Linked DNA regions of Danio rerio. The protein of the gene in region 1 interacts with the protein of each later gene in a biochemical or structural test. Links are inferred from orthologs where the notes say so. Each region holds a gene or a part of one and is shown on either strand. Other genes may lie near its edges. The genes, in order: bcl11aa and nr2f1a.

Region 1 (4,316 bases):
ATTCCCAGATAGATCTCGCGCAAAGTTGACCTTTTTACCCAGCACAAACCTGACTCAACTTTCGCGTTAAGATCTGACACCTCGCGTCGGAAAAAAACACACGCGCACCAACACAGCGATCAGTCTTGGTCCAGAAACAAAGATGTCAGCGTATAAGCCTGCAAAGCAGTTTCACTCACTCGCTCGCGGGTCACGTATTATCTCCAGCATTCGGCTTCAACTCCGATCGGTTCCCTATTGAATTGTGCCTTTTCCCCGCAGACTGTCACTTGTTCACGCAGCCTCTGCTTTCTCTGGAGTAGTCGCTATAGTCTAGTTGTACTTCTACTAGTTCGCAGGGGTGTCTCTCTCTTCCTCCCACCTCATGCATTGAACTAGCTTGTCATCGCGTTCGGTTATACGCTTCATGTCTCTTTAATTTCGAATGCATCAGCGCTGTTTACAGCATCTTTATATTTCTAAATCCACGCGGCGGTTTACTGACACCCCCTCCTCCCCCCAGTCGCCATTCTCTATAATCTGAACACATCTGAAAGTTATTACCCCGTCCCCTTTCTTTCTAGTGGGCTGCTCCCACAATCTATTCGTCAGTGTGTTGTTATATTTTTACAATTACACTCTTGTAGTATTTAAGTCCCACCTACATCGCGCGCAGAGCGCACGAGCAAGTATCCCATCCCGCTTTATGTGATGTGCCTTAAGTTTCTCTGAGCTGGAGGAATGTGGCAGCGCACGCGGCGGTTGAACCCTGCACATGCCCCGGCTCGGAACCTGTCTGTCCTGTTCATGCAACCCGATCGTGTCTCGCTGAAAAGCAGCTACCTTGCGCGCTACCTTTGACTGTTTGACCAGGAGTTGAGTCAGTGTGTTTGAAACACCATCAGTGTCCACTACGAAACCTTAAATGCGAGGCTCCTCTCTCACTGTCTTTGTATATATAGCACGTCCGGCCCCCTTGAATCTCCTGTCCATTGGCTTTTCGTGCTCTGTTTTCCTGCGTCCACCCCCAGAGCGCGAGCGCGCGCGGACGCACACACACACACACACACACTCCGCAGCGCACATTGCTTTCATTAAACATATCTCCCCCTCTCTCTCTCCTTGTGTGTGTGCTTGTCTCTCGCTCCCTCTTTCTCGCCTCTTGTCCGGCCCCCTGATCTTTCTGTCCATTGGCTTCTTCGGGTCTATTTTTCATGTCCAGCCCCTAATGAGTGTCCATTGGTTTTGTTATTTCCACTCCCTCCTCCTACTCCACGGCTTTGCCCTGCCCATGTTCTGTATGTCTGTGTCCATCCATCTCCTGACGTTCAAGTTCGCAGGGACGTCACGTCCGCACTTGAACTTGCAGCTCAGGGGGGCTTTTGCCATTTTTTCATCTCTCTCTCTCTCTTTTCAAAAAAGCCATGACGGCTATCCCACAATCCATCTTCCCTGCGCCATCTTTGTATTATTTCTAATTTATTTTGGATGTCAAAGGCATTGATGAAGATATTTTCTCTGGAGTCTCCTTTCTAACCCGGCTCTCCCGATGTGAACCGAGCTGAAAGCCACCACCAACCACCATGTCTCGCCGCAAGCAAGGCAAACCCCAGCACTTAAGCAAACGGGATTTTTCGCGTAAGTAAAGACAAATATATGTTGTGCCCGTTGCCTTTACCTGTTTTTTGGCTGCGTTGTGTAGCGTTGAGTTGCTGGAGAGGAGCGTAATTCTCAGGGAAGACACACTGGACATTGGACAGCGCAGCGCCGATCAAGTGGACTTTAGCGAAGAGAGCGTTCCCATCTCTTGAATGCCTTTACGCGCACCGAATCGCCAAAAAGTTTGTCTTCCATCGCTGTACTTGGAGAAGTTCGTGTCGACTCTGTGTTTAGGCGCATATGTCTTGGCTCTCGTGCCCCAGTCGCTTTGACCACTTAAGAGCAAACGCTCACATATACCGGACCGTGGTGGGTATATGCACGCGTGCTTTCGCTTGCTTATTTACTCTCACATCTCGTGGAGTGTCCCGCAACGCTGTCTGTCTGTGATTCTGGGCAGGATTTCCCCCCTCTCGCACTATTTTTGGAAGATTTTCAAAGAGTGGAAGCGAATTTTGATTGGGAAAAATCTCGTGTCCGACTGTTTACAAGCGCCGCGTGCGCTTACTACCCACTGCCAGCAAATAGAGCACGATAGTCTTCTGCCTGAGACTAACAGCGCAGAGTAAGACATCTGCATATAGCCTAATATCGTTTCGAGTTTTACACATTAACGCTTTTCTAACGTTTGAAGCAAAACGCGGTTGTGCAGTATTTGTGGGCTTTCGCTGAAAAGCAGTAGAAGAGTATTTTACGTTACGCTCTTTGCCGTTTCGAGTACATTTGCAAGGAGAGAAATACGATTTCTATTTAGGCCTGATTTTCGTCTTAAATGTCGTTGACAAAGGTAAGACGAAACCTAAATATAATGCAACTATTTGGATACAAATGTATCGAGAAAACCAGGCTTTTTATGCATATATTCGTAACACACTAACCTACTGTTCTTCCAGAGATCATGTTAGTTGACACACTAAACGTGCTTTGAAGGACTGTGATAAGTTGCATTTTTCTAAATAAAGTATGCTTCAGATTATATGAACCTGAAATGTTGTCAGGAGCTCGACGACACAACCATTTAGCTTCTATCTTTTTGATGTTTTAGTTTTGATGTCTGAAACGTAAATCTTCAAAAGCATTAGTCCGCGTTTTAATAGATAAACGTGTTTGACACAAATCCTGAGTTGTTGTAACATTGTAAAGTATCGTGTAACATTATTGGGTTTCCACACACAGGCTGTGGATCTCAGCGCGGGTTACTCTGCGCTTTCGCTGCTGCACGTGTCCGAAATCCACCGCTAGGGGGCACACGACGATCATAAACTAGACTCGAACCCGATCAGTTTCAGCACTATCTATATTTGACCATATGTTTGCAAGAGCGAAACGTATTGTATATGAACTTGTAACAGTTTTTTTTTTACCCCGTCCTGAACTGGCATGAATTATAGGATTTTTAAAAAAATGTCTTGTATATTTTGTAATGGATCTAGAAAACTAACATGACTTTCAGGTAATGCAAACAGAGCCAGTATCGATCTTGATAAACTTTGCCATCCAATTTATAATTACACAGAAGACGGTTATTTTTAAAGCAAAGAAACAACAAGCGAGCCTACAAACTTTTTTAATGAATTTATTCAAAACCCCTTTGAATTTCATACACAGAGAAGCTAATACTAAATCTTTTTTTTGTAATAAGATGCTTTTGAATTTTAGACAAATTAATTGTTTTTAAGTCTTTAAATATTTTTTAGTTTAAGAACTGATTTAATTTGAAATGCATATGCAGGTAATGTAATTTAAAACTATTGTGAAAACTCAGTTTAATACAGTTTTCCACACTTTCCACAAATTTTGAGTTGGCTTAATTTGTTTTAAAATGGTTGAATATTCCTTCAAAACACATTCATGGAATCCTAGTTTATTTATGCAAGGTCAATCGTAGTCTGTGAAGTATATATAATAATATTTAAAAATATGCATATGCACGGAAATCTTTAAATGCCATTACCGATTGTAGAATAACGCATAACTTTAAATGTTGTATTAAGCTATTGTATTAATGTTACATTTTATTGAAGCTGAAATATCTATTAAGCAACTATATGTACTCGCTGGGTGTTATTAAATTATGACTCAAGTTTTTGCAAATATGTCGATTATCTCTGTTTTTATCACAAAATCACACATTACTGGACGTTCTACATCTGGTATCATTACGAATTTAATACGAATCAATATCAATCTGTGTATCTTGGAACCAGATACAAAAACGTTTAACTTCACTTTAAATTGCTCCTATTAGAAATGCAAGCAATTACGCACAATAATACAATGTAAAAACGGAAAACATTCGCTCATATTTAAGGGTAATTGATCACGTTTCGTCTTTGTTATTTCATGTGCAAACGTGTCGAATATTTTACTCATAACCACGTCTGGGAGATACTTCACATCTGCCCCTCAGTATCTGCCCCAGACTGGGCTGAGGTAAATTTAACCGCCCTGCTCGTGATCCCAACACCTTTTTTATTATTATCAAAATCTGTACCAATCATCACCCACTAAAATTAAAATCTATTTTTTGATTCTCAGTGGTTTTAGGTTCATTAAAGCATGAAATTGGCAGCTTATAAAGAAGGTCAAGATTCTTAACCATTAGCAAGCTAGTGTAACCTCCGCGCGAAAGATTTCGCTAAACAGCCGTTATAAATACCTGTGTGTGTGTGTGTGTG
Region 2 (4,500 bases), on another chromosome or scaffold:
GGTACACTTACAGAAGTTTCTCTTTGTTCGTTTTAATCTTATTCGTTTCACCTTTGCAATGAACAGAGGACAACAGCGTGTGTTTCTATGGATCTGTTTGTGGAGGGACGGAGAAGCTCCGCGGTCGAGTTGAAAATAAGCTACCTTTTTGTAACTAGAGGGTTTCTTGAACGGTCGGGTATCGGGGTTTTGTTTCCTCTTAACTTCACTTACACAGTTTTGGACTTTGATGCATTGTTTGTACAAAAAAAAAAAAAAAAAAACTTATGGTAAAAATAGGTGATAGGTGATAAAGGCTACTAAAATATTTATTAAATACTTGAATTTTAAACATTGCTGTTTTGTCCGCTAATAAGAGGCCAAAAAGCTTTTCTCCGAAAACAAAAATAAAATAAGCATCTCAAGTGGAGACATTGATAAAAAATAAAAATAAACTTGATGCTAAACAAGTTCCTGCAAAACATAATCAAAATACTTTTAAATCTGATGTTTTTAATAGCCTACTTCACTAAAAAAAATCAGAAACATTCATCCCACCGCGCAATTTGTCTACGAGTTACATTTGGAAACATGCTTTAAATGACAATAAATTACTAATTTTTCATGTCGCTGTAATTGTCTACTGTACGCTAGATGGCAGCCCGATCCAGACATTATAAGTCTGTACAGCGCAGCCTTCAGCATTCATGCTCAAAAAGCCGGTTTCCCTGCGCATTATACCAAAACTTCCCTCGTTAATAAATATGTTAAAACATGGATGGATCCATCGATGTATTTTTCTATTTTTCAATATCATTATACTTTGATTCCTCTTTTGTGCCCTGGTTTACTGCTTGATATGTTTCCTATCACTGAGAAAACATTCCGTTATAGCCTATACTGATATATCCCTCTAGTCAAACTAGTGGTAGTCATCGCGCTTCCCGGTGCTTTTTAATTTAATCGTTGTGCTGAGGATTAAGTGTAATATTGACACGTAAAAGCGAATTTTATACATCGATACGCAATTTCGAGTCGGTGGGCTATATCGGTCTGTCAAATTGCGTTAAACATTAATGGGACCTTCATAGTTCAAATCTGGACGCCGTTACGGTGTTTTTGTGTAATTAAGACTAGGGCTTTGAACAAAACACTTTCAACTTTGTGAGGTTCGCACCAGTCCTTTTGCCTCACACGCATTTGTTTATTTTTCACGTGCGCGTAGTTCGCTCATTGCTTTCATCCCGCTTTTCGCCGCTTCTTTCTGGGGTTTCTTCCTCTTTTTTTGTGACAATAGACGGTCCATTCTAATCGGGTTTCAAAGTAAATAGCAGCGCAGGGGCGAGAGCAATGTAAATTGTGCTTGTCAGAGCCCTCAGTCGTAGGTAGCGAGGAGCGAGGACTCTAACCAATGGAGTGAAGGAGGCTTGGCTAACCTTAGCCTCCCATTTTCTCTCTCCCCCCTCGATGCAGGGTTCTGACCAGTCAGTCGCCTTTGATTATCAGTTGCCAGCAGCCCCTCTCTTGGCTCCTTGACACGAGCACCATATAAGGCGCAGCGATCTCCATAGAAACGTGTCAGTTTCAATAGTAGTGTCAAAGTTCACTATATACAGACATTCGCGCAGATCTCCGTTTCGGAAACATTGCTCCGCTGGTACTCCCGTTAAAACGCATTCTTTTTGGGTCTCTGCTTCTTACATATTCCATTAGTTGCTTTTTTTCTTTTCTTTTCCTACTGGAGAGGTGAAACTACATAGCCAGTCGGGCGACGTTGCTTTTTTTCGCTGGACCAGATGAGCTTTATTCATGAACATAGATAGAGAAATCCGTTCTTCAGTGTTTCCTCCTCTCCAACCGCGAAGACGGAGAGAGGAGCAAGGAAGAAAAAAGAGGGGAATTTATTTTGCACAGCACTTTGGATCTGCGGTCCACCAGAAAGCTATTATTTTTGCTTCAACGTGAAGATTTTGTTTTTTACTGCGGTATTTTTTAAGAAAACTGTTTTTTTTTATATTACGTCTGGGATCGCTTTCTTCATTCACGATTGGGTTCCCGAATGGCTGACTGCAATTTACCTTGGAACTGGCCTCCCGACAACTGCATATCCTGATCGGGTGCCTTTCTATCGACTCCGGTATTTTGAATGTATTGACCATTTTCTGCTTCTACTTTTTTCCCTATGAGATTGAGTGCTCCGATTTGAATTCGCGCTGCCGTTCGTCCAAGACTTCCCTTTTCCCTGCTCCGATATCCGAGCGACCAGTTCGCTTGAAAGCACTTTTCGGGCCCGAGATATGGCAATGGTAGTTAGCGTCTGGCGAGATCCGCAGGAAGACGTGGCTGGAGGACCTCCGAGCGGCCCCAATCCAGCAGCTCAGCCGGCGAGGGAGCAACAGCAGGCGGCGTCAGCGGCACCACACACTCCGCAGACCCCCAGTCAGCCAGGACCTCCGTCCACACCAGGGACGGCTGGCGACAAGGGCAGCCAGAATTCTGGACAGAGTCAACAGCATATAGAATGTGTTGTTTGCGGGGACAAATCAAGCGGCAAGCACTATGGTCAATTCACCTGCGAAGGATGCAAAAGTTTCTTCAAGAGGAGTGTCCGAAGGAACTTAACATATACATGTCGTGCCAACAGGAACTGTCCTATTGACCAACACCATCGTAATCAGTGCCAATATTGTCGGCTGAAGAAGTGTTTAAAAGTGGGCATGCGGCGGGAAGGTGAATATATTTTTCTGAATACATCACACTTGCTACACAAACAGGTTTATTGTTTAAAGCAAGGTTATGCAGACCTCGCAATATTAATATGCAAACGCAAAATACTATCGTATTGAATTATTGCTAAAGAGTGTCAGAGGGCGCGTTTGTAAATACACGCGTATATATGCAAGATCAGCATGGATCTATTATAGTTTTTTTTACATAGATTGGCAAATATCGTATGCACCAATTTCAACTCGCAAATAACAATATATATTATAAAGTCACCCAGTAAACACTGTGTGTGTCAAAAAGAAAGATAAAGATTAAGTGTGTAGCTAAGCCTACGTGCTTTTACGTGTGTGCTGAAAGACGAAAAAGCTAACTACGTTCACATGCACATATAGTGTACCCTATTGAAATAAGAAGCTATAGCCTATGTTTATCTCTCGAAGTAAGATGTACAAGTCTGTTTTCACGCCGTAGCCTAGAGTAAACGTTCAGAGAGGCCTGTCTGTCCCCTCTCAGCCTAAGCTGTATGTGAACAATGGCCTTTACAACTTACACTCTAGTCTTAATAACGAGTAGTGCGAAACTGCTATTGATAATATTTAGATTCTTTTAAAAACTTAACACGTGCCCTTTGTCCTGTTTATTTTTATTCATTTATTTTTTACTTGAATTTAATAATGAAAACAAACTCTTCGTACTCGTTTGTGGACATTTTCACTGTTCCAGAGTTAGTACTCATTATTAAATTGCCTGGAAACGTGTTACTACACGTAAACCTACACATACGTATATTACAAGTATTACATATAATATTATTACAGTATAGCATTTATAATCAGACAGATGTCAGTGGCAGTGAACTAATTCTACTGAAGTCGAGATTTAAACCCGTTTTGTCCACTGTAATGTTTGCTACATGCCTATAAAACTACAAAATAACATTTCAAACGAATTTTCATGTGCGTGCGCGTGTTTGTGGAGACATAAATAGACACAAACACAGCGAGTGAGAGAGAGATAGCTAGCGTTTGTATGTCTCCATATTCTGTCCATATACAAAGGTAAACATTTACCATCCAATAATAAATGAGGTTAGTAGGGATACAAGGACCATGTGAAAAGATTTTTCTTCGAAACGCAATGCCTCACAAATAAATATTAAATATTGTGCAATTTTGTTGCAATTTCGTATATGATAAACAGCAGTCTAGACTGCTCATGCACTCGAAGTAAAGCTTCCACATCAATGATGTTTCTCAGTTCTGGATGTACATTTCCTCTCCCTTTCTTTCTTTTTGTCAGCGGTTCAGCGAGGAAGAATGCCTCCAACCCAACCGAACCCGGGCCAGTATGCGCTAACGAATGGGGATCCTCTGAACGGTCATTGCTATCTCTCCGGATACATCTCGTTACTACTTCGGGCCGAGCCTTATCCTACGTCTCGCTATGGCAGCCAGTGCATGCAGCCCAATAATATTATGGGGATCGAGAACATCTGTGAGCTTGCAGCTCGTCTGCTCTTCAGTGCAGTGGAATGGGCAAGGAACATCCCTTTCTTTCCCGATCTGCAGATCACCGACCAGGTGTCATTGCTCAGACTGACATGGAGCGAGTTATTTGTGCTAAACGCGGCTCAGTGTTCCATGCCCCTACATGTGGCCCCACTGCTCGCCGCTGCCGGCCTGCACGCCTCGCCCATGTCGGCGGATCGCGTCGTGGCCTTCATGGATCACATTCGTATCTTCCAGGAGCAGGTCGAGAAGCTCAAAGCACTGCACGTCGATTCTGCTGAATACA

The links.
Region 2: the proteins of bcl11aa (region 1) and nr2f1a form a complex in vitro, tested with the Homo sapiens proteins (2 studies listed by BioGRID). The link is inferred for Danio rerio from reciprocal best matches to the Homo sapiens genes BCL11A and NR2F1.

The regions. Positions count from the first base shown.
Region 1 is NC_133188.1:29,070,052-29,074,367, forward strand, and holds the start of bcl11aa (BCL11 transcription factor A a), read left to right. Parts: upstream 1-1,457; 5' UTR 1,458-1,562; coding exon 1,563-1,617; intron 1,618-2,007; exon of another isoform or gene 2,008-2,425; intron 2,426-4,316. UniProt on the Homo sapiens protein: Transcription factor. Associated with the BAF SWI/SNF chromatin remodeling complex. Binds to the 5'-TGACCA-3' sequence motif in regulatory regions of target genes, including a distal promoter of the HBG1 hemoglobin subunit gamma-1 gene.
Region 2 is NC_133180.1:53,814,487-53,818,986, forward strand, and holds the start of nr2f1a (nuclear receptor subfamily 2 group F member 1-A), read left to right. Parts: upstream 1-1,574; 5' UTR 1,575-2,276; coding exon 2,277-2,709; intron 2,710-4,005; coding exon 4,006-4,500. UniProt on the Homo sapiens protein: Coup (chicken ovalbumin upstream promoter) transcription factor binds to the ovalbumin promoter and, in conjunction with another protein (S300-II) stimulates initiation of transcription. Binds to both direct repeats and palindromes of the 5'-AGGTCA-3' motif.